Linked DNA regions of Tamandua tetradactyla. The protein of the gene in region 2 interacts with the protein of the main gene of each other region in a biochemical or structural test. Links are inferred from orthologs where the notes say so. Each region holds a gene or a part of one and is shown on either strand. Other genes may lie near its edges.

Region 1 (15,999 bases), on a different chromosome or scaffold from region 2:
GGCAGTTGGATATTACTGACTCTGGACTCCCGGATTTGCAGAAATGGCCAAGCCCTTGTATACTAGTACAGGGGGAAAAGAGGAAACTCTAACCTGGACTGAAACTGAGCAAAAGGCTTTTAAAATGCTGAAACAGGCGTTTGTAAGCGCTCCTGCCTTAACCTTGCCTGACCTGTCAAAACCCTTTCAACTGCATGTTGCTGAAGCCCGGGGAATAGCAAAAGGGGTCCTAACCCAAATATTAGGACCATGGAAAAGGCCAGTTGCCTACCTGTCTAAGAGGCTAGACTATATAGCAGCTGTATGGCCAAACTGCCTCTGGGCCATTGCCACCACTGCTATTTTGGTTAAAGAAGCATCCAAATTAACTCTGGGGCAGGACTTAAAAATAGTGGCACCACATTCAGTCGAAACATTACTAAAAAGCTCCCCTGAGAAATGGCTCTCAAATGCCCAGATAACCCAATATCAAGTACTGCTACTAGATCCTCCAAGAATCTGCTTCCTGAAAGCGATGGCCCTTAACCCCGCCACCTTACTCCCGAATGATGACCCATCCGAGCCCACCCACGACTGCTGCGAGGTCCTGGAATCCCTCAAAAACTTGAGGGCTGACCTCACTGACAACCCCTGGCCAAATCCTGATGAAGAATTATATACAGACAGGAGCAGTTATGTCTTAGAAGGAATCAGGTATGTGGGGGCAGCAGTGGTAACTGCAGACCAGGTCATCTGGGCTCAGGCCCTAGGACATGAGACTTCGGCCCAAAAGGCTGAACTGATAGTTCTGACCCAGGCTCTAAGGTGGGGAAAGGGGAAGGTTGTCAACATCTACACGGACAGCAGATATGCCTTCGCAACTGCACACGTCCACAGGGCACTATTTCAGGAGTGGGGACTTTTGACAACGGGAGGAAAAGAAATAGAAAATATACCAGAAATACTCGCCTTTCTAGAGGCTATCTGGTTGCCGAAAAGGGCAGCAGTTATACACTGCAAAGGACATCAGACTGCCGAAACTCAAATCGCCAGAGGAAATGCCCTGGCTGATAAAATGGCAAAAGAGGTTGCCCAAAAACCAGTGGGGATGCTGCAGATACTTTCTGTCTTACCGAGACAGGTACTGTCAAGCCCTCCAAATTATACTGGCGAAGAAATTAAACTGGGTGAAACTCTGGTCACTAGAACAGATCTGGATGGTTGGAAAATTCTCCCAGACAGGAGAATCCTGGTGCCAGAGCACCTGGGGCACAATTTGGTTGCCCAGGTTCACCAAGTACATACCGGGGCAGTATGAAACTAACTGAACTCTTACAGAGAAATTACTACATTCCCCGACTGCAACATCAAGCCTGGCAGATATCATCCAGATGCCACATCTGCACCCAGGCAAATTCTGGCCAAGGGAAGGAGGTGCCCCAAGGGATTAGAATGAGGGGACAAGCCCCAGGAGAACAGTGGGAAATAGACATCACAGAAATATTACTTGTTCTATATGGATACAAATACCTGCTGGTTTTCATTGACACCTTCTCTGGATAGGCATTCCCTACCAAAACCGAGATAGCACAAATAGTAGTAAAAAACTAGTTTTCGAAATTGTCACCCGATTTGGCCTCTCGACTGCAACAGGGGCTGGCGTTCATCACCCAAATTACCCAATTGTTAGCAAAAATATTAAATATCAAATGGAAATTACATTGTATTTATAGGCCACAGAGTTCAGGGCAAGTTGAGAAAATGAATAGAACAATAAAAGAAACTGAATAAAAGCTCGAGACTGGCGAAAACTGGGTGAGTCTCCTTCCATTTGCCCTCCTAAGGACTAGATGTACTCCCTACGTTAAGGGAATTACCCCATATGAAATCATGTTTGGGCGACCACCCCCACTAATTCCTAAATTGGGGGAAAAGAAAATAGCTGAATTAAATAACCATTCTCTTCTAAAATCATTACAGGCCCTGCAATCTGCTACCCAGCACACCCGAGAACTGAAGACAGCCCATCCGGGACCAACAAACCCTGCCCCTAACAAAGATCTATTTCAGGTGCAGCACGGAGACCTGGTCTGGATTAAAAGGCTTCAGTTAGCCACCTTGGAGGCCCGGTGGACGGGACCCCTGCCAGCAATCCTCACAACCCCAACAGCAGTAAAAGTTGTGGGAAACCGACACTGGATTCATCACACCCAGATCAAGAAAGCTGACCCAGATCAGCTCCCTGGAAAATGGACCATCCAGCGAACCGAGGATCCACTAAAGATAAGACTTTCCAGAAATCCCTCTGGGTCCTCCTGATATCCCTGGTGGGGGTTGCGGAAAAAAAAACCTTCACCAGGTTATAAACTATACCTGGGAACTCATATATAAAATGGTGGATGGAGTAGTGGTAGCTACAACCACCACTTCCTCCTAACCAACCCTCCACTTTGATCTCTGCCAACTGTTTGGACACCTAGGGAAGGGGAGTTATGGTAACATTATCAGATATGGGTGTACTACCCCCATCAGCAAAAAGGCTTATGGCATACCCAATACTATGTCTGTTCTGCAGAGGAAAATTTAAACTGCCAAGAGAAAAGCCAATATTATGGTGCCAACTGGGGTTGCGAAACAATAGCAGAATGGACTAACCAAGACTGGTTCATAACCTTAATAAGGGCTCCAGCCCATAACCCCAACAGTTGCACCCGAGCCACCTGTATCCCAATGATTATTGCTATCCCTTCCTGGCGTATCCAAACCTGGGCGAGTGGAAAAACTTGGGGAATGAGGTTATATGTCTCAGGTTACAACCCAGGCACCAGTTTCACAATTCAAAGGTTCTTTCCCCATAAAACAGACAATCCCATAGGACCTAATCGAGCTCTCAACCCTGTCATTAAACCAGCACAGCCCCCCAGACCCGGGGCCCCACCTCTGGTAGGCTTGAGCTCAAAAGCCTATGCTACCCCAAACTCCCAAATAAATTCCTCTCCCTCCCCTAAAAAACCACTGCTCAACATGTTAAATTCAGTTTTCCAGTTCATGAATCAAACCAATCCACTTATTATTGAAGACTGTTGGCTTTGCTTAAACCCTGAACCCCCTTATTACACAGGAATAGGAGCTAATATCTCCCTAGGCCTCGCAGATACCCATATCAGAAACCTCTCAGTCCAAGAGGCACAAGGCCAACACCTATGCAGGTGGAGAAAGGAACCAAAACTCATCCTAGGAGATCTCCAAGGGCAGGGAACCTGTATTTATTCTGAAAAGTTTAATCTAGGGTGGGCCACAGTGGCTCAGTGGCAAGAATGCTTGCCTGCCATGCCAGAGGACCGGGTTCGATTCCCGGTGCCTGCCCATGTTAAAAAAAAAAATTTAATCTAGCTAAATCTCCCTATAGTGACTCCTGCGGTCTCATCATGTCACTAAAGGACATTTTGACTTCAACCCCGGATGGATGGGACCACCTCCCTGTAGCCCCCCACAGTACTTGGTTTGCCGGCACATCCGGTATTACCCTCTGTATAACTCCCCCAATAATGGCCGTCGAGGAGGAATTTTATATCTTAGTTCACATTATCCCCCAAGTATATTATTATTCTGGGGAAGGGGGTAGGGAACATTTAGAAATCACTTACTGGACCAAGCAAGCCCCAATCTTGGTGCTCTTCCTTGTCAGACTGGGCACTGCAGGATCAACTGCAGTCGGAACTTCAGCCCTTATCACCGGGGACCAAAATTTTAAAACTCTTAGCAAACAAGTTGACCTGGATCTTAGTGAATTAGAAAGCTCCGTCAGTCATTTGGAAAACTCCCTAAATTCACTGGCTGATGTTGTTCTCCAAAACGCAGAGGCTTAGACCTCCTGTTTCTAAAACAAGGGGGGTTACACATGGCCCTCGGAGACAGCTACTGCTTCTATGCCAATCATTCTGGAATAATTAGAAACAGTCTATTCCTAATCCGTAGCAGGTTATGAGAGTGGGAGGAACGCCGGAAAGCTGAAACCAACTGGTATGAAAATTTGTTTTCCTGGTCCCCATGGCTGACCACGCTCTTAATCACCATAACAGGACCCCTAATTCTCATACCATTAGGCTTAATGGTTGGACCCCATATAATAAACTGTCTGAACTCATATGTGCAAAAAAGAATACAAGCTATTAAATTATCAGTCCTTCGAACCCATTATCAACAGATTTATAATCAAAATACAGAAACAATTATTTGATTCTCATAAAACCAGTGGGGAATGTGGGGGGTCAGGAGCAATAAATCAGGCCCTAGCAAGAAGAAGGTATCCGGAGTCACAAGATCCAGGGCGGAAAGTTCCCAAGAGTTAAAAATTGAACAATAATCACTGTTAAGAAACTAAAAGAATGGGATGTATTTTGCAAGAGCTAACGGCATTTTTCTGCTTCAGTAGATGAGCTTGCTTGCTTACAGCTGCAAACCAAGATGTGGCTCTAAAAAGATAATGCCCCTTTCCTGCTTCTGTGGATAAACTTGCGTTTTTTGCCTTTATAAGCCCCCCTTGAGAATCTCTCAGGGCTGCTCTCTGAATCGTCCTTCTTGGGGGTTTCTGAGGCAGTCGCTGGCTGGCTAATAAAGACTCCAAATTGGCTTGCAGTTTTTTAGAATTGTGTGGTCTCTCTTTTGCTGCGCCCCACAACAGTGTTTGCCATTCCTCCACTTTATCAGCTAGGCTTTTCCTGATTATCCTACACAAAATGATAAAATCAACCCCAACCACATACCCAGTTTTCTCTAGCCCCTTTCCCTTGTTTCATTTTCTTTATAATATTTATCATTCTTTGCACAATAAGTTTAATATATTTTATTTTCTTTTTCTTCTTTCTAGAATATAAACTCTATGAGAGCAGGGGTTTTGTTAACTGCCATATCCCTAGCATAAAGCATCATAAAATAAGTAGTGTGTATGAGTGTGTGCGTTTGTGAGAGAAACGGAGCAGAAACTCCTATTAAAATACTTCTGAAATGGTATTATTTGCAACCATAAAAAAAAAAAACACAAAAAATGGACAAAAAGACTTAAATAGACAGAAAATATACAAATGGCCAATAAGCACATGAAAAGATGCTCAAAATTGGGGAATGACATTAGCCATTAGGGAATGCAAATCAAAACCAGAATTAGATACCATTTCATACCTACTAGTAGAATGGCTACTATTAAAAAAACAACAACAGAAAAGTGTTGGAGAGGATGTGGAGAAACAGGAACACTCATTCATTGCAGGTGGTAATATAAAATGGTGCATCTGCTGTGGAAAACAGTCTATAGATTACTCAGAAAGCTACGTAAACAATTACCATATAATTAAACAAGCATACTCAAAAGAATTGAAAGCAGGGACTCAAACAGATATATGCATACTAGTGTTGCAAGAGGCATTATTCAAAACTGCCTAAACATGGAAGCAATGCAAATGGATAACAGACAAATGGATAAATAAACATGATATACAGAAACAATGGAATGATTTAGCCATAAAAAGGAATAAAGTTCTGATACATGCTACAACGTGGTTGACCCCTGAAGATATGTTGAGTGAAATAGTCAGACACTAAAAAACAAATATTGTTTCATCTCACTTCTTTGAAATTAGAATATGCAAATTCAGAGTCGGAAACTAGAACACAAGATGTTGCCAGGGGGGGTGTACAGAATGGGGAGTCAATGTTTAATTCGTACAGAGTTTCTGTTTGGGGGCACTGGAAAAGTTTTGGTAATGGATTGTGGCCATGGTAGCACAGCATTGTGAATGTAATCAACACCACTGAATCATATATTCGAAAGTGGTTTAAATGGGAAATTTTAGGTTGCATATGTGTAATCAGAATAAAATTTTAAAAAAATCATATAACTGTACAACACAGTGGACTCTAATAGTTTTAAGGACTATAGTTAATAAAATGAATTATAGTAATATTGTAATATTGTCTCATCAATTGTAGCAAAAGTTTCACACTAACACCAAGGGTTAATAATACGGAAGATTGTGTCTAAGGGGGCATATATGGAAATTTCAAACTTTCTGCATGATTTTTCTATAAACATACAACTTCTAGAAGGAAGGGGAGAGAGGGGGAGAGAGAGAGAGAGAGAGAGAGGGAGAGAGAGAGGGAGAGGAGAGAGAGAGAGAGAGAAAAAAAAAGAAAAAGAAAGGGAGGAAGGTAGGAAGGAAGAAAGGAAGAGAGAGAAAGGAAGAGAGAAGGATAGAGAGAAGGAAAGAGAGATAAATAGTTTCCTTGCAGTACATACTGGGAAACTGATCCAGAAGTTTGAGAACTAAGAAAATTAAAACTCATAGCCTTCTGAGCCTATTGACTTTTGGCTCACAAAACAAATACTTTCATTAACAAGTGAAAGACAATAGGATTCAATATTTAAAACACCATATGTAAATGAAACTGGCCTTAACATAATTTAAAAGGTGCAGCATGGTGATGTAAGAAAGGACAAGAGTTTTGTTTTTATCTTGTTTTAAATTCTCTTTCAGATCCTGAGACTCATCTAGAACATTGCTAGGAGGATTGAATATATGATCACTTAGTATGTACAACTGATGCCTGATTTATGGTTAAACACTCAATAGTCGGCCATTTACAGATCTAAAATGTTTCTATTTCATCTCTTCTTTAAGAAGGAAAACAATTTGTTAAATTTCTTTTCTTCGCATAACCGCAAATTTTTAGGGATTATGTTTTTCTAGACTGCTCGTTTCTTCTAAGCCCCATCCTGATTCATGTCCTACAACCAATGTCCTACTGTCAACATAGGACAAGTCCCACTGGACCAGTGGTAGAAAGTATCTTTAGAAATGTAAGAGATATTAGATAAAACCGAGACCTGTAACTCTCACTGCGGAATAAGAAAGTATTAGAATAAGGAAGGAAAGATACGGTAGTGTTTTAAGAACAATATAATTTCATAATTTTACATTTCAGTGGGGGGGCAAAAGCTTTTATAAATGAAAGCAAAGAGCAACATCACCTTCTTGGTTGATGGGGATGCACTAAAGATACTGTGACTCAGCCAAAGGACTATTCAATTGAGGTACTGTGACATTTTTATGCTAATCAAAATGATATAAAGGGTCAAGAAAGTCTGAGAAACTCTAATCTAGACCAAAATACTAAAAATGCTTAAATTAAAAGAACCAAACCAAATAAAACCCAAGCCCCCCAAAAGTTAACAGGCATGTCCAAGTTGCATAAAAGGTAAGTGGCTCAAAGCAGTGTTGTGACTTAAAGTCCAGTTCACAATACACGCATACATTAGCTACAGATTATCAAGAATTAACTGTACTACCAACATACAAAATATTTCCCCCAACACAATAAAAAGTCCTTGTAGTACAATAAAACAAAGGTTTCATTTTAATACTTGACTTCTTTACTGATAACTATCCACCTTGTCTTCCATATCCATTTATAAGAAGGAAGGGACATCTTCTTAGCATTTAATACAGACCTCTTTTGCATACACTTAATATTTACAACAATCTTGCCAGGTCATAGGTACTGCACCCACTATCAGTTGTCACTCAGCATTTTTAGAAACTAGCCACTTTAACTATTTGGAAAATCGGGGTACTATGCCCTCAAGTGGTCCAAACAGGGCATCACCAGAGGTCGCTACTTGTTCATCGGTGCAAGGCCAATCAGCGGATCCTGCAGGGTTTCCTCAATTTCCCCCAACAGCCAAAGCTCTAGCCTCATCCAGAGCACAAGGGCAGGGGTTGAGTCCCCGCCCAGAAGGTACGCGCACGCGCCTTTCCCGACGCTCCCCAGGCCAACACCACCTGGGGGCGCCACGTCCCCCCCCACATCTATTTCCCCACTCAGTCCGCTCTTTCGAATACCTTTGTCTAATTCCATAAGGGCAGAGTTAGCATCCAGTTCCTGTTCGCCATAGCCAGCATCTGCCAGGAAAGACTTAGTTGAGTTTGACGCCATGGCCCGAACAGTTTCTTCCCTAACCTATTCATAAAGGTTGCAAACGCTGTCCCAACACCGCCATCTTCTCACACCGCCTTCTCGCGAATTTTTCCGCCGTGCGCTGGCATTCCGTGTTACGCATGCGCCCTGGCCACCACGCGGTTCGCCAACGCCCGTTCAGTCCCCCGCGCAGGCGCTCAGGGAGCTATTGCGCTCCAGGTTCCCGCGGATGGGAGAAAAGGAGGCGGGGATAGGGCGGGAGAAATGACTCTAAGGCGTCCGGACGCCGCGGCAGGAGCCAATCAGAGATCGTTACGTCAGTTTGGCGCGGAGTTTGGTGGCCGGAGCTTGCTGTGGCGGGAGTTGGAGGCACCAACGAGTCGTGTTCTGAGAGGCGCAAGCCACGATTCCTGCTGCACTTGGGGGCATTTCCGCAGGTTTCTTCGCGGTTGAGCCTTCTCCTTCGGTCCAGATGCTCTTCAGTTCGGTGCTCCGCCAGCCCCAGTTTGGCGCCCCGAGAAATGGTAAGTAACGGTCCTAACCGCTGCTTGTTTGCTGGCGGTATCCGTCTTCCGAACACACCTCAAACCAGGGCAGACTAAAATTCTGTTTCCCAACCGACTTTTCCCACGGTAAGAATGAATTAGTGTTGACGCGGACTACTAAGTAAGCTGTACTTTCATTCCCTCAGAATACTTTTTTAAAAATCACAAATATAGGTTGAAGGTGAGAGGAAAGATGAATTAACTGGCCTCCAACGTTCCTTAGGGCCTTAGGTCTGTGTGTTACGCGTTAACCGGGAATCGGCTGCATTTTTTGTTGTTTTTGTCGTTCTCTGTATAATCATATGAGATCCACCAGGACGCCCTGTATTCATTTTGTTTAATTAATTCAGTTGTGTAGAAGCTTACTGAGCCCTTATTTGCTGTGTTTGGAGGGCCACCGATAAATATGACCGGATGCACTGTTAGGAAACTCGGTCACGCAGAGAACGCAGGACATTTCCTGCTGGCAGGGTCCAAATCTCCCCCACCCCCACCCCGATTAATATATGTTCATAAAAATTGGAAATTATTAACTGGACGATCACCATGACCACACCCCCAGACTGTTAATAGGTTGTTTATTCCAGATGTTTTTCGATGCCAGAAATAATACATAGGGTGCTTATTTACAGAGATGAGATCAGAATGTTTTGTTGTTCACTTTAGTGGCTTAACTTGAACATATTTCTATGTTAGTGCGTAGAAATCCAGTTTATTCCCTCAGTTCCTCCTTGACAAGAAGAGTTTTGAGTTTCAATTTGGATGTCATCTACCTGAAACTTTCTAATAGGGAATTACTACCCATTTAAAAGTCGAGTGTACAGGGAGTCTATCATTTCCTTGAAACCATTTGAAAAACAAAAAATGTGAGAAGAGAACCTTCTATGTTTTAAGTGGTAGGTTTAGGAAAAGAAGGTTGAGAAGTAATTCCTCAACAGCCCGCTCTTAATTTAAAACGTTATGCCATCCTTACCTACTCCCCTCTTAGTCTTTTAAATTATGTTCTGTATGTTTCCCTTGTCATGAGTGGCAACATAAGGCTTTGTCTTTGGAGTTAAACAGCCTGTGTTCTAATTCCAGCTCCACTCCTTACTATCTGTGTTGAGACAAGCTATTAATATTTACCCTGTATTTTGTGATGAATTTTCTCCTAAATCTCCAATCTATCTGTCTACTTCTTCCACTTCCTCTTTCTCTTTCACAAATATTCATGCATTGCTATGTTAGGCACTGCAATTTGTGGGACCATCGCCTATCCCTTCAATTTGGTATTCCAATCTTAGCCCCTTTTCCTCTTCTACCCACTCCTTTGGATAATCAGAGCAATAACTGGGGCATCTTCCACTACTACCTATAGCCTTCCAGATCCTATGCTCTTTTTAAAAAAATTTTTTAATGTTTTTTTATTGTGAAATATATATACAAAGAAAAGAAAGAAAAAGCAATAGTTTTCAAAGTACATTTTAACAAGTAGATACAGAACAGATTTCTGAATTTGTTACGGGTTTTCATTCATTCCACTATTTCAGATTTTTCCTTCTAGCTGCTCCAAAACACTGGAGGCTGAAAGAAGTATTAATATAATGATTTAGCATTCATACTCATTTGTGAAATTGTATTTTCTTTGTTATAACTCCTCCTTCAATCCTTCTCCTGTCTGTAAGGGTCTTTCGGCAATGCCCATTCTGATTTTTACATTTTGAGAAAGGGTGTTGACAATGAAGGATAGGGGGATGTAATTAGTTGATAATTTTGGAGAGGCTGATTCCTCTGGATTTCAGAAGTTATCTGGCCTAGGCACCCTCTGGAGGTTATAGATTTCAGGAAAGTAAACTTACTGCATGAAACTTTTATAAAATCTCCATTAGATCCCTAGATATTCTTAAGAGTTAACAAGAATGATGTTGGTTGGGGTTTGACACAACATGGGAATAGGCAATATTTAGCTGAAGCTTATATAAAAGTAGCTCCCAGAATAGCCTCAGTACTCTATTTGAACTCCCTGGGCCACTGAGTCTTATTATGTTGCACTTCTTTTCCTCATTTTGGTCAGGAAAGTACTGTCAGTCCCACGGTGCAGGGCCAAACTCATCTCTTAAAGTCATGTCCCATGTTGTTAGGAAGACTTCCCCCCAAAGGTTGTGTCCTTAGTGGGGAAGTAATGATTTTCCTTGCAGATTTGTAGACCTTAAGCTTTTGACTCATTCTTACAACAGCTGTGTGGATATCTGCACTGAGCTCGTCAGTCTCATAGCCATCTAAAACTCACACGCCCAAAAACTGAACTCATTACTCCCTCAAACCTGCTTTATTTCCTATTTTAGAGAGTGTTCCCAGTTTTAAACCAGTCTTCCCAACCAGAAACCTGGCAGTAACTCTTCACCCCATCTTGAATCTGTTCTAGCTTTACCATGCCATTTCCCTACCTTCTTATCTGTACTGTTTCTCAATGTTGAGAAAGGCAAGTTTCTCAAATGGCCTTAGTTTCCCCCTCTCCAGTTTTTTCTTCAGATTGTTGTCATAGATCATTCTAAACTAGAAATCTGACTACTCTTCTGTGCATTTTCAAGTTGATAAACTAAAATTTTTTATCATAGGTTTAAACAGATGCAAAGAATATAATTTCTGGCATATTGTGAATACCAACATCTAAAAATAAAAATGCTGCCTCAGTCTTTTAAATGTGTCTAGTAGAATATAAACACTACAGTGATTTTTTTATTAATTTTTTAATTTTTTTAAAATACCAAAAAACACCAAACAAATTCAAACATTTTGATCATTCCGTTCTACATATATAATCAGTAATTCACAATAGTATCACATAGTTGCATATATATCATCATGATTATTTCTTGGAACATTTGCATCTATTCAGAAAAAGAAAACAAAAAAATTCATACATACCATACCCCCTACCCATCCCCCTCACCAATCACCAGCATTTCACTCTAAATTTATTTTAACATTTGTTCCCCCTATTATTCATCTTTATTCCATATGTTTTACTCATCTGTTGATAAGGTAGATAAAAGGAACATCAGACACAAGGTTTTTACAATCACCCAGTCACATTGTGAAAGCTGTATCATTATACAATCACCATCAAGAAACATGGCTACTGGAACACAGCTCTACATTTTCAGACAGTTCCCTCCAGCCTCTCCACTACATCTTGACTAACAAGGCGATATCTATTTAATGCATAAGAATAACCTCCAGGATAACCTCTCAACTCTGTTTGGAATCTCAGCCATTGACACTTTATTTTGTCTCATTTCTCTTTCCCCTTTTGGTCAAGAAGGTTTTCTCAGTCCCCTGATGCTGATTCTCAGTTCATTCTAGGGGTTTTCTCAATCCGTTGATACTGAGTCTCAGCTCATTCCAGGACTTCTGTCCCACATTACCAGGAAGGTCCACACCCCTGGGAGTCATGTCCCAGGTGGACAGGGGTAGGGTGATGAGTTTGCTTGTTGTGTTGGCTGGAGAGAGAGGCCACATCTGAGCAACAAAAGAGGTTCTCTTGGGAGTGACTCTTAGGCCTAATTTCAAGTAGGCTTGACCTATCCTTTGTGGGGTTAAGTTTCATATGAACAAACTCCAAGATTGGGGACTCAACCTATATCTTTAATTGTCTGCACTGCTTGTGAGAATATCAAGAATTCAGCTTGGGGAAGTTGAATTTTCCCCCTTTGTCATCATTCCCGGCAGGGGACTTTGCAAATACTTTTTTATTCACTGTTCAAATCACTCTGGGAACAACCAACAAAATCTAATGTCCTACTCAAGGTTCCTTGAACTTATGCTGTTCAATTAAGCTGTCTACATAAGTTGTATTAGAAAATGCACTAGTCAAAATAAAAATTTTGTGCCAAATAAACATTTTTTGCTTTAGTCTCATACATAAAGTAAAATTCTTAAATATTAATTACCATCTATTTTCAGCACCCTGCAGTAATGGCGTTCCTTTGTTCTTCCTCATGCAAAAACATTTTTTGAATTTGTACATTTAGTCACTTATCATTGTGCACTCTAGGCATTCCTAGATTATACCATCTCAGTCTTTATTGTCTTTCTGATTTCATTTGTGCCCCCAGCCCTCCTCCCTCTATCGTTCTCACATTCAGCTTCATTCAGTGTTTTAACATAATTGTATTACAGTTAGGTAGTATTGTGCTGTCCATTTCTGAGTTTTTACATTCAGTCCTGTTGCACAATCTGTATTCCTTCAGCTCCAGTTACCTAATATCTTCCCTTATTTCTACCTCTTGATGGTCTCTATTACCAATGAAATTCTCCAAGTTTATTCACTAATGTCAGTTCATATCAGTGAGACCATACAGTATTTTTCCTTTTGTTTCTGGCTAATCTCATTCAGATAATGTCCTTAAGGTCCATCCATGTTGTTATATATTTCATAACTTTATTCTGTCTTACAGCTGCATAATATTCCATTTTATGTATATACCACAGTTTGTTTAGCCACTCGTCTGTTTATGGACATTTTGTATGTTTCTGTCTCTTCACAATTATAAATAATGCTGCTATAAACATTGGTGTGCAAATGTCTGTTTGTGTCCTTGCCCTCATGTCCTCTGAGTAGATACCTAGCAATGGTATTACCAGGTCATATGGCAATTCTATATTTAGCTTTTTGAGGAACCACCAAACTGCCTTCCACAGTGGTTGTACCATTTGATGTTCCCACCAACAGTGGATAAATGTGCCTCTTTCTTCACATCCTCTCCAGCATTTATCATTTTCTGTTTTATTGATAATGGCCATTCTGGTGGATGTGAGATGATATCTCATTGTGGTTTTGATTTGAATTTCTCTAATAGCTAGAGAAGTTGAGCATCTCTTCATGTACCTTTTGGCCATTTATATTTTCTCTTCTGAGAAGTGTCTGTTCAAGTCTTTTTGCCCATTTTGTAATTGGGTTGACTGTCTTTTTGTTGTTGAGTTAAACAGTCTCTTTATATATTCTAGATACTAGACCTTTGTCTGATATATCGTTTCCAAATATTGTTTCCCATTGTGTAAGCTGTCTTTGTACTTTCTTGACGAAGTTCTTTGATGTGCAAAAGTATTTAATTTTGAGGAGTTCCCATTTATTTATTTTTCTTCAGTGCTCTTGCTTTGGGTGTGAGGTCTAGGAAACCGCCTCCTAGTATAAGATTTATAAGATATTTCCCTACATTTTCTTCTAACAGTTTTATGGTCTTAGATCTAATGTTTAGATCCATTTTTTTTTTTTTTTTTTTTAAGTATGGGCAGGCACCGGAAATCGAACCCGGGTCCTCGGGCATGGCAGGCAAGCATTCTTACCTGCTGAGCCACCGTGGCCCGCTCTTTGGATCCATTTTGAGTTAATTTTTGTATAGGGTATGAGATATGGGTCCTCTTTCATTCTTTTGCATATGGATATCCAATTCTCTAGTCACCATTTATTGAAGAGACTGTTCTGTCCCAGGTGAGTTGGCTTGACTGCCTTATCAAAAATCAGTTGTTCATAGATGAGAGGGTCTATATCTGAACACTCTATTCTATTCCATTGATCAGTATATCTATGTTTATGCCAGTACCATGCTGTTTTGACCACTGTAGGTTCATAATATGCCTTAAAGTCAGGTATATGAGACCTCTGACTTCATTTTTTTTTCTCAGGATACTTTTAGCTATTTGGGGGCACCCTGCCCTTCCAGATAAATTTGGTTATTGGTTTTTCTCTTTCTGAAAAGTAAGTTACTACAGTGATTTTATAATCAAATCTGTTTTTTTAATTTCACAGAATTTATAATATAATTTAATTTTCTGCTTGAGAAGTTCTTTTATTCTTGATCATATTCCTTTGTTTCAAAAATGTATTTAAATTAATGTTTTTTTGTCATCATAAGGCTCCATGTGTTAAAGTTTCCTCTGGTTTGAATAATTAAAATTAGTATTGGAATGCAATTGATTAAAACAATGTTGATTACCAATTCTTGATAAGTAATTTTTTTTTAAAGAGATGGATTTCAGTGAGTGTTTATGGTGCCTTTATTAAAGGAATTATGCAGTTGTCTCTTAGTTAGGGTCCCAAATTTTATACCTTGGGTCAATGCAAAGTATAAGATCAGTTGGTACGTATACCTTTCTTTTGGAATGTGAAGAAAGACACTGATGAAAGGGGGAGTAGGGAAATAGGAGAGCCTTAACCTTCTTGGACAGATCAATTTCAGAAATGTAGAAGTTGAGTGTCTGGAAATTGATTCTCTGAAAACTCTTCTCCTTTTGTGTAATCCTTGGAAAATCTGCGCTTAAACCCGGGGACTTAATTGTACATTGAATAAAGAATGTGTTTTTCCAAATAAGTGTTGTGGAAAAAAGCATTCTCCACATACTCAGGAAACACTATAGCACTGTAATGATCCCAAAGTAGTTCAAAGTGGTAGGTAGATGGAATGTGTATTGTGGGGAGTTTTGAAATAGAGGGGCAGTGAAGACCCAGTCATTAACCTACTGGATTTCGATATTGGTCTCTGGGCCAGTGAGACTAAGGGGTCACTGTTTAGATGTAGGAAATTATGTTTCCAAAGCATATCATCTTCAATTTCACTTAAATTGTTTGAGTTTCAGCCCTTCTTGAAATCATGGGTTGCAGTCAGTAGATTATTTTGTTTTATCCCAAACCACAAATATACATTTACATAACCTTTTGTAAAGAGGTTTTTATTTTTACAGTTCATTCTGTAAATGGATATATGTGAACTCTACAACATAACCACTTACTATATTGCTTCTTTAGTGGTCTTTAAAAACTTGTTTCTAAGGATATGTAACCTTGAAATTGTGAGATAATATTCCCAGGAATAATTACTAAATCTGGATTAAATTTCATTGTCTCCTTTTCACTAATTCTTTCCTGTTATCTCTATGAATATTCAACGCTAGATTTGTATGAGGTCATGTCAGGCTAAGATGTCTTCTCCGAATAGTACTTTTTGATTATGTGAGAATTGCAAGTGCCCTAACATGAGAGAACATAAAAGAACTAAAATCTAAGTCAAATTCTTCTTTTTGAGGGATCACGTTTAGAGGAAAACGTGATCCTTCTGTTGGCGTCAAATAGTATTGTTTCTCCTGCCCCAAAGGTTGTTATTATTTATCATGAGCATTTTGTATTGGTTTTCTTAATACTGCTGGAATGCAATATACCAGAAATGGAATGGCTTTTAAAAAGGGAATTTATTGGGCGGGCCACGGTGGCTCAGCAGGTAAGAGTGCTTGCCTGCCATGCCCAAGGACCTGGGTTCGATTCCCAGTGCCTGCCCATGTTTAAAAAAAAAAAAAAAAGGAATTTATTAAGTTGAAAGTTTACAGTTCGAAGGCCATAAAATGTCCAAACTAAGGCATCCGGGAAAAGATACCTTGACTCAGGAAAGGGCAGATGATGTTCTTGGTTTCTCTGTCATCTGGGAAGGCACATGGCACATGGCAATGTCTGCTAGCTTTCTCTCCA
Region 2 (15,845 bases):
TGTGGAACATATTTATATTTGATGAAAGGACATTTTTATAAATGTACTGTTATATATAGTCCATGGTTTGACTTAGGGTTCACTGTGCAGTGTAGTTCCATGGATTTTTTAAAAATTCTTATTCTGTTAATATATACAATATAACATTTCCCCTTTAAATCAATGCTCAATTGAAGTGACAATCTTGTGCTACCATCATCACCATCTATTACCAAAACATTTCCATTATTCCAAATATGAACCCTGTACATTTTAAGCTTTAACTTCCTATTCCTTATTCCCACCCTGTCCCCTGGCAAACTGTATTCTAGATTCTGACTCTGAGTTTGTGCTTATTTTAATTGTTTTAAAACAATGAGATCATACAATATTTTTCCTTTTGTGTCTGGCTTATTTTACTCAACATAATGTCTTCAAGGTCCATCCATGTTACATTTTTCAGGACTTTATTCCTTTCTATGGCTGAATAGTATTCCATTATATGTATCTGCCACATTTTATTTATCCACTTATTGATTGATGGGCACTTGGGTTGCTTCCTCTTTTGGCAATCACAAATAATGCTGCTATGAACACTGGTGTTCAACTATTCAAGTCCCTGCTGTTCATTCTTTTGGGTATATAGCGAGTAGTGGGATTGCTGAGTCATATGGTAGATCTATACTCAGCTTTTTGAGGAACTGCCAAACTGTCTTCCACAATAGCTGCACTACATTACTTTTGCCACCTGTAATGAATGAGTGTTCTTGTTTCTCCACGTCCTCTCCAACACTGTTTTCCATTTTTTAAAATACCACATTAGTGGGTATGGAGTGGTACCTCTTTGTGGTTTTGACTTACATGTCCCTGATGGCTAATGATGTTGAGCATGCTTTCATGTGCTTTCTGGCCTCTTGAATATCCTCTTTGGAGAGATGTCTTAAAATCTTTTGCCAACCACCCCCCCCTTTTAATTTTTTTTAACTTTTTTTATTGTATAGTTTAACATATATACAAAGCAAAGAAATAAAAAAGCAATAGTTTTGAAAGCACTCCTCAAAAAGTGGTCACAGGATAGATCCTAGAGTTTGTCAGTTTGTCATGGGCTACCATACGATCCTCTTGTATTTTCCCTTCTGGCTGCTCCAGAATATAGGAGGCTGGAGGGCTTAAATACTTTTTTATCATCACAATCGACTTTCCTTTCCTTTTTTTTTTTTGTGAACAATAATATATATACAAAAAAGCTATAAATTTCACAGCACAGCACCACAATTAGTTGTAGAACATATTTCAGACTTTAACATGGGTTACAGTTTCACAATTTTAGGTTTTTACTTCTAGCCACTCTAAAATACTGGAGACTAAAAGAGATATCAATTTAATGATTCAGCATCCATATTCATTTGTTAAGTCCTATGTATAGGACTTATTCTCTGTATAATTCTATCATAACTTTTGATCTTTCCATACCTCTCTTTGGGGTTGTCTGAGCTGTGGCAATTCTAAATTTTTGATATTGGAAGGTTCTGTCACTAATAAGGGGTAGGGAAATGGAACTATCTGATGTTCTGGAGAGGCTGGGCTGGGTTTCAGGACTTATCTGGACCAGGGACCCATCTGGAGGTTGCAGGTTTCTGGCAAGTTACTCTAGTGCCTGGAACCCTTGTGGAATCTTATATATTGCCCTAAGTGTTTTTTAGGATTGACTGGAATGGTTGTGGTTGGGGGTTGGCAGGTTATAATAGGTAGCAAGGTCTACCTGAAGCTTGCATAAGAGGAACCTCCAGAGTAGCCTCTTGACTCTATTTGAACTGTTTCTGCCACTGATACTTTATTAGTTATGCTTCTTTTCCCCTTTTGGTCAGGATGGAATTGTTGATTTCATGGTGCCAGGTCTGGATTCATCCCTGGGAGTCATCCCCCCCATCACCAAGGAGACTTTCACCCCTGGATGTCTTGTCCCACATAGGGGGGAGGACAGTGATTTCACTTGCAGAGTTGGGCTTAGAGTGAGCCACATCTGAGCAACAAAAGAGGTCCTCCAGAAGTAACTCTTAAGCATGCCTATAGGCAGTCTGAATTTCTCTACTACCTACATATGCGTCACAAGAGTAAGCCTCATGATTGAGGGCATGGCCTATTGCTTTGGGTATCTCTAAAAGTATCAGAGGATTCCCTGATGGTCAAGTTTAATAGTTCCATATTCTTTCTCTCTTCCCTCAGGGGACTTTGCTAATAATTTTTGATTATCTGCTTAATATACTCTAGAATGTTTCCAGGCATTACAATAATCTATACGGGATTAAAGGAGCTCTTACAAGAGTAAACATGATCGAGGGCATGGCCTATTAATTTGGGTGATCCTAAAGTTTGACACAGTATCAGGCATTCCCTGATGATAAGGTTTAATAGTTCCATAGCCTTTTTCCCCTCCCTCAGGGGACTTTGCCAATAGTTTTTGATTATCTGGTTAAAATACTCCAGGATGTTTCCAGGCATTACGATAATCTATACAGGATTAAAGGACCTCCTTCTCTATGCTCCCTGTGTTTCAGTTGTTCAAATGAGCTATACAGATAGGTTGAATTAGGTTATGCACTACAGAAAATTTCAGTTTCAGATCAAATAAACCTTTCTTCCATTGGTCTCAAAGAATATGTTTGGTTCTAAAATATAGACACTGTCTTCTTTACCCCTATGTTCTGAATTACTTTAATTCCAACCTGTTCAGCTTCATTCTTATCTCTAAATATCAGGTTATAGATATATAAAACAGCCTTTCAAAATCCAGAAATAATAATCATCACTACAGACTTAATGTGTCTGCTCTAAGAACTTAAAACCTAAGCCCCTGTTTTCTTATAAGCATTTTCTAAAAGTGACCATACCATTGTTGTTTTTTTGTTTCTGGCTTATTTTGTCTCACCAAATGTCCCACATGTTCATTCTCATCGTTGAATGCCTCACGACATTGTTCCTTTTTGTAGCAGAACAACCTTCGTCATAAGTATACACCATCGTTCGCCAATCTACTTCTCTGTCAGTGCATCCTTCAGCCATCTGCATTCATTGGGCATCATGTAGAGGGTGCAAAGTCCACAGTCCATCAACATTCTCAGTTTTAGATAATTTCATTGTTCCCAAGAGACATAAAACCAATAAGCACACCCTCGCCAAATAGGAAATCTAAACTTCCTCTTAAGTCTTGTCTCACCCCATTATTTACCTCTGCTGTTGCTGTGGTAGTGCTGATGGTTTCCTTTTTTTTTTTTTTTTTTTAGCATTTTTAAATTGTGAAATATGACATATATCCAAAAAAGCAATAAAATTTGAAGTACATTATAAAAAGTAATTATAGAACAGATTTCAGAGTTTGGTGTGGGTTACAACTCCACAATTTCAGGTTTTTCCTTCTAGCTACTCCAAGACACTGGAGACTATAAGAAATATCTATATAATGACTCAGCAGTCACACTCATTTGTTAAATCCTTCCTTCTCTGTTATAACTTCTCCTCCTTTGATCTTTCTCCCCATCTTTAGGGGTATTTGGGCTAAGTCCACTCTAACTTTTTTATTTGGAAAGGACTATCAATAATATGTGATAGGTGGATGGAACTAGTTGATGTTTTGGAGAGCTTTGCCCTTCTAGGTGTCAGGACTTATCTGGCCTAGGAGCTATCTGGAAGTTATAGGTTTCTGGAAAGTAATCATAGTGCATGGAACATTTGTAGCATCTCAGATAATGCCCTAGGTGTTCTTTTGGGTTGGCAGGAATGGTTTTGGGTTGAGTTTGGCAAACCATGGTAATTAGCAATATCTAGCAGAAGCTTGTGTAAGAGTAGTCTCCAGAATGGCCTGTTCAATCTATTTGAACTCTCTTAGCCACTGCTACCTTATTTTGGTACATTTCTTTTCCCCCTTTAGGTCAAGAAGGCATTGTTGATCCCATGATACCAGGGCCAGACTCATCCCTTATAGTCATGGCCTTGATCGTCAGGAAGACTTTCACCCCTGGATGTCATGTCCCATGTAGCGGGGAGGGTAATGGTTTCACTTACAGAGTTGGGCTTAGAGAGGGAGGCCACATCCGATCAACAAAAGACATTTTCTGAAAGTGACTCTTAGGCATAACTATGGGTAGGCTAAGCTTCTCCACTACAGAAATAAGCTTTATAAGAGCAAACTAAGGTTTGATCAAGGGCTTGGCCTATTGAGTTAGGAGTCCCTAATGTTTGTGACAGTATCAGGGGTTTCCCAGTGGTAAAGTTTAATAGTTCCAATTTTTTTCTCCAGTTCTTCAAGGGACTTTGTCAATACTGTTTAATTATCTGCCCAACATACGCTGGGATATAAACTATGCAGAATTACAAACCTTTATTCCCATTAAGCTCCAGGTGTTTGGGTTGTTGAAACGGGCTATCCAGACAGGCTGAGTTAGATTATGTGCTATAGAAAAGTTAGGTTTTGACAAAATAAACCTCTCTTCCTTTGGTCTCACACAGGCGAAGTTCTAAAATACAGACAATGATGTCCTTACCCCTTATTCTCATTTACCTTAGTCTTGACCAGATTGACTTTGTTCTTATCTTCTAAGTGAAGCCTGATCTCTTTTTTGGTTTCTTTAATAGTCGTTATATGTACCAATATATGTATATGTATATATGTACCAGGTTATATACATATAGAGCACAGCACCTCAAAATCTAGAAATAATGTTTTCAGCTCTGGACTAAATGTGACTGGTATAAGGGCTTACAATCTAAGCCCCAATTTTCTTATAAGTAGTATTTTCTAAGAGAGACCATACATACTTGTTCTTTTGTTTCTGGCTTATTTTTCACTAAATAATGTCCCCAAAGTTCATTCTCCTCTTTGCATGCCTCATGACTTTGCTCTTCTCTGTAGCCACACAATATTCCATCATGTATACACAACAGTTTGCTATTCTACTTCTCTGTCAATGCATCTTTCAGCTACCTCCATGATGGTTTGCTTTTGAACATAGCTCAATAGCATGCAATAGCAGTTTCCCCCCTGTACCCTGGACTTGAACATTATTTATACAAGAATCGAATCCTTTAATTCTTACGAAAACTCGTTCATGTTTCTAGTGGGAGTCAGTGGGACACATAGGTCTATACAACCCTTTTCAATCTTGTTCATCTTCAGTATGATAATAATACTTCTAGACCCACTAGAGAATCACCTTTGCTCCTATCTATTCACTTACATTGGAATTCAACCTCACTAGCTGACGGTTAACCCATCTCTAGCTTCTATGTATCTCTAAGTCCCCTATATTCTGTATTATAAGCCTCTGATTATACCTTTATGCTGGTCATAAAAGTGGAATCAAACAGTATCTGTCCTTTTGTATCTGGCTAATTTCACTCAGCATTATGTCCTCGCTCATCCATTTTGTCATGTGCTTCAGGACGTCATTTTGTCTTACTGCTGCATATTCCATCGTATGTATACACCATATTTTGTTGATCCACTCATTTGTTGGTGTGCATTTGGTTTGATTCCATATTTTGGTGATTGTGCTCCAATAATGCTGCTATGAACATCAGTGTGCAAATATCTGTGTCATTGCTTTCAGCTCTTCTGGTATATACCAAGTAGTGCTATTGCTGGGTCATAGGGCAACTCGATGTTTAGTTTCCTAAGGAACCACCAAACAGTCTTCCATAGTGGCTGCACCATTATACATTCCCACCAGCAGTGCATAAGTGTCCCAATTTCTCCACATCCTCTCCAACATTTATAGTTTCCTGTCTCTTTAATAGCAGCCATTCTTAGAGGTGTGAGGTGGTATCTCATTGTATGTAGTCTTGATCTGCATTTCTATTTTAGCCAGTGAAAATGAGCATCTCTTCAGGTGCTTTTGAGCCATCTGTATTTTCTCTTCAGAAAAATGCCTATTCATATCGTTAGCCCATTTTATAATTGGATTGTTTGTTCTTTTGTTGTTGAGGCCAACCCTCTTTTAATAGTTCAAATACATTAGGCATTCATTCTTAAAGATGTTTCATGTTTTGCTATATTTCTATTTGGATTCATTTACCCTAGGTTTGCTGCATACCTCTTGTCTTGGTGTATTCCTTTAATAATACTGGTCTTTTTTTTTTTCTTTCTAATTTTTGTTGAACTGCCTCTATATGTGTGTGTTAATCCCATAAATTTATCACCTCTAAATACCTTCCTGAGAAAGTGTGTAGAGAAAAGTATTTTGAGCTCTTGCTTACCTCTTCTCATGCTTGATTAGTTGGGTATAGAATTTTAGGTTGAAAATAATTTTTCCCTTAGAATGTTTTGAAGGCATTGGTCCACTGTTTTCTATATCTTCCAAATGTTAGAGAAATGCAATGCTATTCCCACTCTTAGTTTTTTTGTCTGTGTCCATTCCTCCCCACACCCAACCTAGATCTCTTAGGATTTTCTCTTTGTAATGATTTGAAGTTTCCCCAATAATGCGTCTTAGAGCAGGTCATCTATTGTGCTTAGTACTTTGGACTTTTCATTGTGAGAAGGCAGACTCTTCAGTTCTGAGAAATTTTCTTGAGTTATTTCTGAATTCCAATCCCCCCACCTCCTACCCCCAAAAACAGTTATTTGGATTTTCTGGATTAGTCTCCTAATATATTTTTTTTATTAATTAAAAAAATTAACAACAAACAAAACATTAAGATATCACTACATTCTACATATGTAATCAGTAATTCTTAATATCATTACATAGTTGCATATTCATCATTTCTTAGAACATTTGCATTGATTTAGAAAAAGAAATAAAAAAGACAACAGAAAAAGGAATAAAAAAGAGAAAAAAAAAAAGATTATACATACCATAACCCTTACCTCTCGCTTTCATTTATCACGAGCATTTCAAACTAAATTTATTTTAACATTGGTTCCCCCTATTATTTATTTTTATTCCATATGTTCTACTCTTCTGTTGATATGGTAGATAAAAGGAGCATCAGACACAAGGTTTTCACAATCAGAGTCACATTGTGAAAGCTATATTATTGTTCAATCATCATCAACTTAATATTTTTATATTTGCTGTTTTCCAAATTCTATTCTTTCTGGGAGATTTCCTTAATTTTCTAATCTATTTAGTTTTCTTCTTTTCTGCTCTCATATTTCTAATATTGAAGAGCTTTGTTTGAATATTTTTGACATCCTTAATATTAAAAATTTTCTCAAACTCTTGGCTGTTTGTTCTTTTTTAAGAGTGGAACTCTAAAAGCTGATTGGAAGGTGTTTGTTTTGAATGTAGGCTTCACCCTCCTGTGATCTGGCTGTGCTGTTAGAATGGGGATCCCTGGTATAGGATCCAGATCTTTTCTCTTACACCGGTAAGGTTCCCTTGAGAAAGCTCTATCTCCTAACTCAAGGATATAAGCCAGGCTACTAGCTTTGTAGGAATAGGGTGAGAAAAGGCCAAGAGTCTAAACATAATCCTCCTGTTTTCAGTAAGACCTTGGTGCTTGATGCTTCCCAGGTCAGATGCCACCCATTTACCCTCTTTTTTATATCAGCTTTGGGGAGGGGTAGTTACTTGGGTACAAGAGGAAGAACAAAATCTAGGGATTTATTTGCTTTATTTACAATCTTTCAACCTAGTTTTTAGCCATACCTTTACCTCTACATTCTGAATTATTTGGTATCAACAATTCTTGAGCTTTTGGAAATTCTGTGGTATAGAGTTGCTTTTCTGTTCTCTCACTGCTGGCTTTGAGTGATTAAGTTTTCATGTAAGTTATCTTGCATTTAAAAGCTTTCCACTTTATAAAATTTTTTTTCTCATACTCTTCATTCTTGTGGGTTATTGTCTTTTAAAAATTTACTCTTTAGTAATATTTTAGTAAGGTTTCAGAAGGCAGCAGAGGGTATTGTGTATATTCATTCTTTCATATGCTATCTTTAACTGGTATTCTTGCCTGAAATCTGTATTCCTCTTTTTTTTTCAGGCTAAAAAGATAGTGTAATTTCATTCACACTCAGAGGAGCTGTGCATGTCCTTCTCTCTCATAATATTCTGTTTGCAGTTCAGTGAGGAAACTAGAAAAAAGGGGGAAAATAAACTGGAAAAACTTATTACATAAAGCCCAAACTGTGATATCATGGTTAACACTTCATACATAAGCATTATAAAGTGTTCTGTTCTTGACTTTTGATCTTTCAAATAGATGTGTGCACTTTTTTTAAGATGTGTGTACTTCTGATGTAATATATTTTACCTTATTAACAGTATCACAGTCAATAGCTAGTTATGCCAAGAGTATTTGGCCCAATTTGAGAATTTGGGCCAAATACTTGACTTGAGAATTTAATGGCGACGATGATATTTGTGCCTCCAGTTCCTAGTCTAGCTTACTGTGTGGGCTGGGCAGGGTAAGCACCTACTTCAGTTTCAGATTGGTTTTGCTTCTCAAGCAAGTCCCTTTGCCCAGAATATACTTTCCTACTTAAAATGGTTACTCTACCCTTTTCATTTGCGTTGTAAAATATGGTGCAACAGCTTTTTTTTTTTTTAATTTATTTTTATTTGTACATGGGCAGGCACCGGGAATCGAACCTGGGTCCTCTGGCATGGCAGGCAAGCATGCTTGCCTGCTGAGCCACCGTGGCTCGCCCAACAGCTTTTTTTTTTTAATTTTAATTCTTAACATACAAACATTCCAAACATGCTGTACAATCAATAGCTCACAATATTATCACATAGTTGTACATTTATTACCATGATCATTTTTTAGACCATTGGTGCAACAGCTTTTCGGCTTCTACATGCCTAGTTCTTACACATTAAGAACGCAAAGTACTAAGCTATGCAGACATTTTTGCCTCAAAGTAGTTGGACTAACGCGGGTATGGTTTGGGACCTGTTCACTGACAATACACAAGAACACTGGTTTTCCTGACATCCCTTCAAATGACAAAAGAATAACTTTCTTCCTCCAGACCCTTGCCCCCAACTCCTGTGTGGCCATTTCTGATGCTTTTCTCCCACTCCGCAAAAATACGTTTCATTCTTCACAATATCAATTTTCAACAGCTGTCAAGATTCGGGGCTCCAGAATTATCGGTACCGCCCTTGAACGTCTACAAAGCGCTGTGCATTGCTTAGTAGCACACGGTCCTCACCATCTCGTGGGGCAGCCAGGTAGGATGCTCAGAGGTCACGGCCTGTAGGGTCGCGCAAGTTCGGTCAGCCTTTCCAGGTCCCACGGGGTCAGGGCGCTGCCTGCAAGCACGGAGTATTTTTTCGGGAGGCGCTTCGGCCCACCGGCCCCGCCCCAGCCGAGGTTCCCACACCGGCCACCCATTTCACTCTGATCCAGCCAGTGGTCTTTAAATCTCCTCAGCTAAGATCTTCCCCGACCCTAAAGGAATCGAGGTGCAACCGGCTAGAGTTGGGAAGGAAAACTTCTCGGCACCGGTCAATCTTCATAACCGCAGAGACTGTAATCTGCGTTTCCCTGCTCTACGGCAAGGGGCGCGCGCGTTTACGACAGTGTGACGCTACAAGTTTTGGCGGGAAAAGCGTTGCATTCAGATTCCTGTGGTGGCGGCTAAAGGACAACCTGGTGAGGAGGGGTGGCTGATAGGGTGGATAAGGAGGATGGAGAAGCTCGGGGTCTAGATTAATGAAGAGAGGCACAGTAAGAGACAGTTATCGGTGAAGAGCGAGGGGGACCGGAGACAACTCCCGCGGACTAGTCGTTTGGGAGGGTGGTACCAGTTGGGGGGCGGTCCTCATAGTAGAGGGGAACATGAGAGACTGTTCCTCTGCTGATTGGGAACCCCAGAGGTTTGGGCGCCGCCCGTCGGTGTCCCACTCTTTCCTTCCGCTTCCTCGAACGGTTTGACCCCGCCCCGAGCCCCTCCCGGCCCTTAGGACTTAGTGAGGGTGGGATTGGTACTGAGCAAGGGGGGAGGTGGGGCTGAAGTAGTCAGAGTTGTTCTTTACGCGGACACAAATCTACCGTTCTTACTCTCTTCCTCAGTATTCACCTCTCTTACTCCCTTCCCCAATCTCTTCACCATAAGGGATTTTTTGCCCGGTTCCCCAGCTCCTCTATTCAATTTCCTTTAGGATCCGAGAAAGGCGGGGCTTCAGCTTTCAGTTTGCGTGGAAATGGCGGTGGGGTGGGGTTGTGATTTACCCAACAAAGTGCCTAAATTTGGAAAATTTGATTGTAGTTTAAAGACTTAGATAAAACTTGGATGAGATGTAAGGGAAAACTAAGAGTTGTTATTTATAGTTGGGGAATCATGGCCAGGTGAGAGCTCAGTGACTTTACAGGTGATTGAAGCTCACACTTTTTCCATCTTTCCTACCTTTTACAGCCTTGGAGTCATGGCAGTTCCCTTTGTGGAAGACTGGGATTTGGTGCAAACTCTGGGAGAAGGTGCCTACGGAGAGTGAGTCCTTTTACCCTACCTGCACACCTGCTTAGTATTTCTGTCTGTTGTCTTGAGTACATATTCCTTGTCTTGGAGTTGTTTACAATAATACAGTCGTGTTTAGAAAACACACCTTTACATTTAAAAGCCAGTAATTTTGGAAACTGATGTTGTAAATCTTTTGTAAGGATTAGTGTTTTTTTTTTTCCCCATTTAAAAAAAGTTCCTTTAAGAGTTGGAAGAGACTTCTGAAGTCATTGTTTCCCCTTTCACACGTTCCTTCTTGGGTTGTAAACATAATGGTTAAACGAGCAAATAAGCAGACTGTGGAGACAGACTGCCTGGTGTCAAGTAGTCCTTTATCACATACTGGTCATGGTAGCGTAATCTTAGGCAAACTTCTGAATGTCTTTTTGTGCCTCTTTTTCCTCCTCTATTAGATGGCAATAATAGAACCTACCCAATAGGTGGTTAGAATAGTTTGCCAGAGGTATATAGTATGGGATTAATAAGTGTTAGATATGTGATTAAATTAAACAGATAAAAGATGTATATAGGTGATGTGGCCTAGAAGTGCTGTTATCACAATTTATTTTATCAAATGTTTATTAAATGACTTGCCTGTATAGTATAATGACTTATAGTACTTCACATTTCAGAAAGGAATGATATCTGTTGAGAGCATGGCAGAAACTTTTTCCTTGGTTTCTCCTTGGTAAAGAAAATAATGAAGATAAAATAGTTTTGGATTGAGTCATGTTTAATCTTTTGAGGTTTTAAAAGGGCTATAATACAAATGTTTGGAATATTATAACTCTTTCTTTTCCTTTTTAAGAGTTCAACTTGCTGTGAATAGAAGAACTGAAGAAGCAGTTGCAGTGAAGATTGTAGACATGAAGCGTGCTATAGACTGTCCAGAAAATATTAAGAAAGAAATCTGTATCAATAAAATGTTAAATCATGAGAATGTAGTGAAATTCTATGGTCACAGGAGAGAAGGCAACATCCAGTATCTATTTCTGGAGTATTGCAGTGGGGGAGAACTTTTTGATAGAATAGGTATGGTAAAATAGTGTTCCAAATCAATCTTCTAAAAACTCAAGATAATTATTCTGCTAAACAAAGTTCAAAATTTGTGTTTAAATTTTGGGTCTGATATTTGGTCATTCTTTCAGAAGTGCTTATGTAACCTTGAAATTGGAGTAAATTAGCCTGTTTTTTTTTTGACTTTGGTTTAAAATATAAGTGTATATAAAGTCACTGGAAAGAAATTTTTTTTGCACATCATATTTGTGATTTTGATTGGGATTACCGTTTTATAGAGTTTAAAAATTATATACTTCATAAATGCAATGTCTTATTGCCTACCCAGTTTTTTTTCTTTGTAGCATTCTGGTTTCATGAAATCATTGCATACATCCCAAGATCCAAAATAATAGCATATTATTAGATTTCTTCTTAACATACTTATTAAGTAATATAACTGAGAACCTTCTAGGATTAAAAAATATATGTTAAGTAAATTCTGAATTGGTTCTTATATGTTCTATGTTGATTCAAAGGATTATTACTACAGAGCACATAATTACATAAAATGTATTCTGTGGACCTATTCAAAGCAACTGTATTAATACTTGATTACTGTAATTTCTAATATGTATCTTGGGAGAGAGTTGAGAGTAAACTAAATCAGAAGTTAATGAGGGAGATCAAAATATAAAATGATAAAAAAGAACATTTGTGAATAAAACTTTGTTCCTGAAGGATAGGAGAGGTGGTATGTACTTTAAGTCTATTGTTAAATTTTTAGTGAAATTGGCTTAGGTTTTCCCAGGCTTCTGTACTGGCAGTTAGATTTCAGGAGTGGGGAAGATATTGTTCTATCATTAAGATATTGAGGGAGGATTTGAGGGATAATAAATCAGGCTAAGAGTAAGCAGAGGCTTTCTAAGCATGGTTTACATTCTTAATTTGGACAATAGCTTATAATCTCTCTATAATTTTCCCTTGATATATTTCACCATATTACAAATAGGGAAATGAATTATTAAGTATCATGTGGTAGTGGACTCGTGACTCTTAACTTAAGACTGTTTTTGCTAAAGTTTCTTTCTGTTAAAGTACAGTGAGACAAATGTTTAAGCTTAAAATTAAGAGTTGACCATGTGGTTGATGACTGAGTATATTTATCTGAAAAACTAACTTTCATAATTACTTTTTTTTTTTTATAATTCCTATAGAGCCAGACATAGGCATGCCTGAACAAGATGCTCAGAGGTTCTTCCATCAACTTATGGCAGGGGTGGTAGGTACCATTATCTCTTACCTTTTTACTTAAACTTAGCATAGATGAAGTAATTTATCAAATTATGGTGTGTTTTCCCCCTCACTCTCAGATTTATCTGCATGGTATTGGAATAACCCACAGGGATATTAAGCCAGAAAATCTTCTATTAGATGAAAGAGGTAAGTTTGGCATTTTGTCTCTGCTACCAAAATTATTTTAATATAACCATCCAGGGGAAGGACCAAGAATTTACATTACTGAGATTTCACGGCAAAAGAATCTGAAAAGTCAAAGAAATTTAAGAGATTTAGTATAATTGGACTTTACAAGTCCTTTATATAATTGTGGGTGAGACAGAGAAATCTGTAGCTCACGCTTAGATAAGAATAAGAATAATTTGAAGCGGTTTGTTAATGGATTAAGGAAGGGAGATTTCTATTGGAATACCCTGGACTTCAGTCTTGTGCTCTTTGCTCTTTTTAATCTGTAAATGTTTATCTATTTAAAAAACATTTCTATTCAATGCCATCATTTTTTCCTTTGCTTTAGATAACCTCAAAATCTCTGATTTTGGCCTGGCAACAGTGTTTCGGCATAATAGTCGTGAACGTTTATTGAACAAGATGTGTGGTACTTTACCTTATGTTGCTCCAGAACTTCTGAAGAGAAAAGAATTTCATGCAGAGCCAGTTGATATTTGGTCCTGTGGAATCGTACTTACTGCAATGTTGGCTGGAGGTAAGAGCTATTTAGTTATGATAAAATTGCTGTCCTATGGTAATTCAGATTTGTAATGCCAAAATATAGACAGTAAACTAAGGGGATCTATTTATATAATAGCATTTTAATAGTAACTGTTATTTATAACTAACTTGGAACTTTTAACCTCAAAGGTTTTCAAAATGAGGTATGGATGAGTTATTATATGAAAAATCACTGTAGCCATCTCTTTTAAGACTTCATGTCAACACTTTTGGAAAGATTAGGACAGGAGTGGTTCATCCGTCTTTGAGGTGTCTCTAAAGTTTCTGTGAGTTGGCATTCTTAGTTTGTAACCCTGTTGAATTAATTTGTAGGAAACATTTAATGAATTCAAATTATTATTTTTTCTCTCATGAAATAATAATTATATAGTGATATGAACACTCAGAAAACTGGGACTTTTCTCTTTTTGTAGAATTGCCGTGGGACCAGCCCAGTGACAGTTGTCAGGAATATTCTGATTGGAAAGAAAAAAAAACATACCTCAACCCTTGGAAAAAAATTGATTCTGCTCCTCTGGGTAACTGGGTTAACTTGATTGAAAGTGTTTATTGGACAGTGAATTCTAGTGCTATTTGAATTTTTTTAATTTATTTTTTCTTTTTAACTTTTAAACAAATTCACATAAATAATCCACTATCCTTGTAGATAAAATAGAAAACTATAAATAAAAATTTAGGAAAAGAGCACCTGTGTAAATCCAGCACGAGAAATAATCTTTAAAAAATATTTTGATTGCGTTCTTCTAGACTTTGTTGGGATAAATATATTTTAAGTATGAATGTTTTTACAGAAATTGAGATAGTACACATGTTATTTTATAATCTGGTTTTTGTCTTAATGTTCTTGAACATTTTTCCGTGGCTATAATTGCAGGTCTACATCATTCTTTTTAAAGATTATGATGATATTCTGCTGTATAGCTATGCCTTATTGTGCTCATTCAGTTTACTTTATTGGAAATTTAAGTTTTTGCTTAATTTTTCACTGTTACAAAAGAGATACTTAATCTTTACACATGTCTGTAAATCATTTACTTAAAATAAAGCTCTAAAAGTGAAATTGCAAAGTCCAGGGTACATGGAGTTTTTAATTATTCAGTTTATTTTGTCGAAATTGCTTTCCAGAAAGTTCATACCACTTCATCATAATCTCATCAGTTTATTTTAAAAAATGATTTAAAAAAACGTGGTTAAATCTAACAGTGCTGTAAAAAAATTACTCGTTATTCATTTTTAAATGTATTACCAATAAGATTACATACCTTTTATGTATTAATTACCTTTTTTGTCTATTTTTATAGGTTGTCTTTTGCCCATTTTCAACAGGGAATTTTATTGCTTCTTTTATTTTGTGTGAATTTTTTTAGTATATTAATGTCATTAGGCCTTTCCATTTGTTGCAAATATTTTTCATCATATGTCATTTATTTTAATTTTGTGTATGTTACTTTGACATGAAATTTTATGGTTTTAATTATTCACATTTATCAGTTTTGAACTTTGTGGTTTCATACTCTCTTGTCATGTTTAGAAAATAGTTTTCTACTGTTTATGTTATTTAAAAAAAATTCCATATTTTCACTGAATATTTTTGTGGCTTCATTTTTACACTTAAATCTTTGGTCCATTCAAAAATAGTTTTGGTGTTGGGAGATATATGAATTCTTTTTCAAGATAATTATGATATATTAAGATTATTGTTGACTGTGTTACTGTTCCTTAAAAAGTTATTGGAAAGTAAATTTTCCTTACAAATTAAATAATATAATTATTTATCAAATTAAATAATATAGTAGCATCATTCATTCCTTTTCCCAGATATAATATTTAGATATAAGCAGACCAGTAGAAAATGTGTCCCTATGATAAGCACATTTACTTTTCTAATCTTCATGACTCTTGTCTTAATGTTTGATTTTCAGCTCTGCTGCATAAAATCCTGGTTGAGAATCCATCAGTAAGGATTACCATTCCAGACATCAAAAAAGATAGATGGTACAATAAACCACTCAAGAAAGGTAATATTCTTAGAATACAATTATTTTTCTCAGTGAACATCACAAATCAACAACACAAGAGGGGTGCAGTCTCTTTCTTCGTGGAGTTAATAATGTCTAACAGGAAAAATGGAAGTATAAGACATCATTTTAAGTTTATTACTAATTAGAAAGGAAAACATTTGGGTACTATTGTTAAGTATTTGACCAAGACTTAAGGGGCAGAGAATGCTTCCTACCTAGGGAAATGCCATTAAATTTTAAGAAAAACACTTTAAAATCAAAGAGGACCTAGTCGGGTAAGGTGAGTAGTAGATCTGATTCTCTACATTTACAAAGTCTTGGAATTTAGAGAGACTGGTGCAGTTGAGGAACTAGGGCAAGGCCAGTACAGTATG

Evidence for each region.
Region 1: of the proteins of CHEK1 (region 2) and DTL, one has a biochemical effect on the other in vitro, tested with the Homo sapiens proteins (2 studies listed by BioGRID). The link is inferred for Tamandua tetradactyla from reciprocal best matches to the Homo sapiens genes CHEK1 and DTL.

The regions. Positions count from the first base shown.
Region 1 is NC_135330.1:70,017,812-70,033,810, reverse strand, and holds the start of DTL (denticleless protein homolog), read left to right. Parts: upstream 1-8,134; 5' UTR 8,135-8,425; coding exon 8,426-8,477; exon of another isoform or gene 8,478-8,585; intron 8,586-15,999. Other genes in the region: INTS7 (integrator complex subunit 7), read right to left, coding at 7,878-7,971. UniProt on the Homo sapiens protein: Substrate-specific adapter of a DCX (DDB1-CUL4-X-box) E3 ubiquitin-protein ligase complex required for cell cycle control, DNA damage response and translesion DNA synthesis.
Region 2 is NC_135334.1:11,924,383-11,940,227, reverse strand, and holds the start of CHEK1 (serine/threonine-protein kinase Chk1), read left to right. Parts: upstream 1-9,513; 5' UTR 9,514-9,579; intron 9,580-10,342; 5' UTR 10,343-10,352; coding exon 10,353-10,417; intron 10,418-11,234; coding exon 11,235-11,458; intron 11,459-12,639; coding exon 12,640-12,704; intron 12,705-12,795; coding exon 12,796-12,865; intron 12,866-13,235; coding exon 13,236-13,424; intron 13,425-13,863; coding exon 13,864-13,968; intron 13,969-15,372; coding exon 15,373-15,468; intron 15,469-15,845. UniProt on the Homo sapiens protein: Serine/threonine-protein kinase which is required for checkpoint-mediated cell cycle arrest and activation of DNA repair in response to the presence of DNA damage or unreplicated DNA.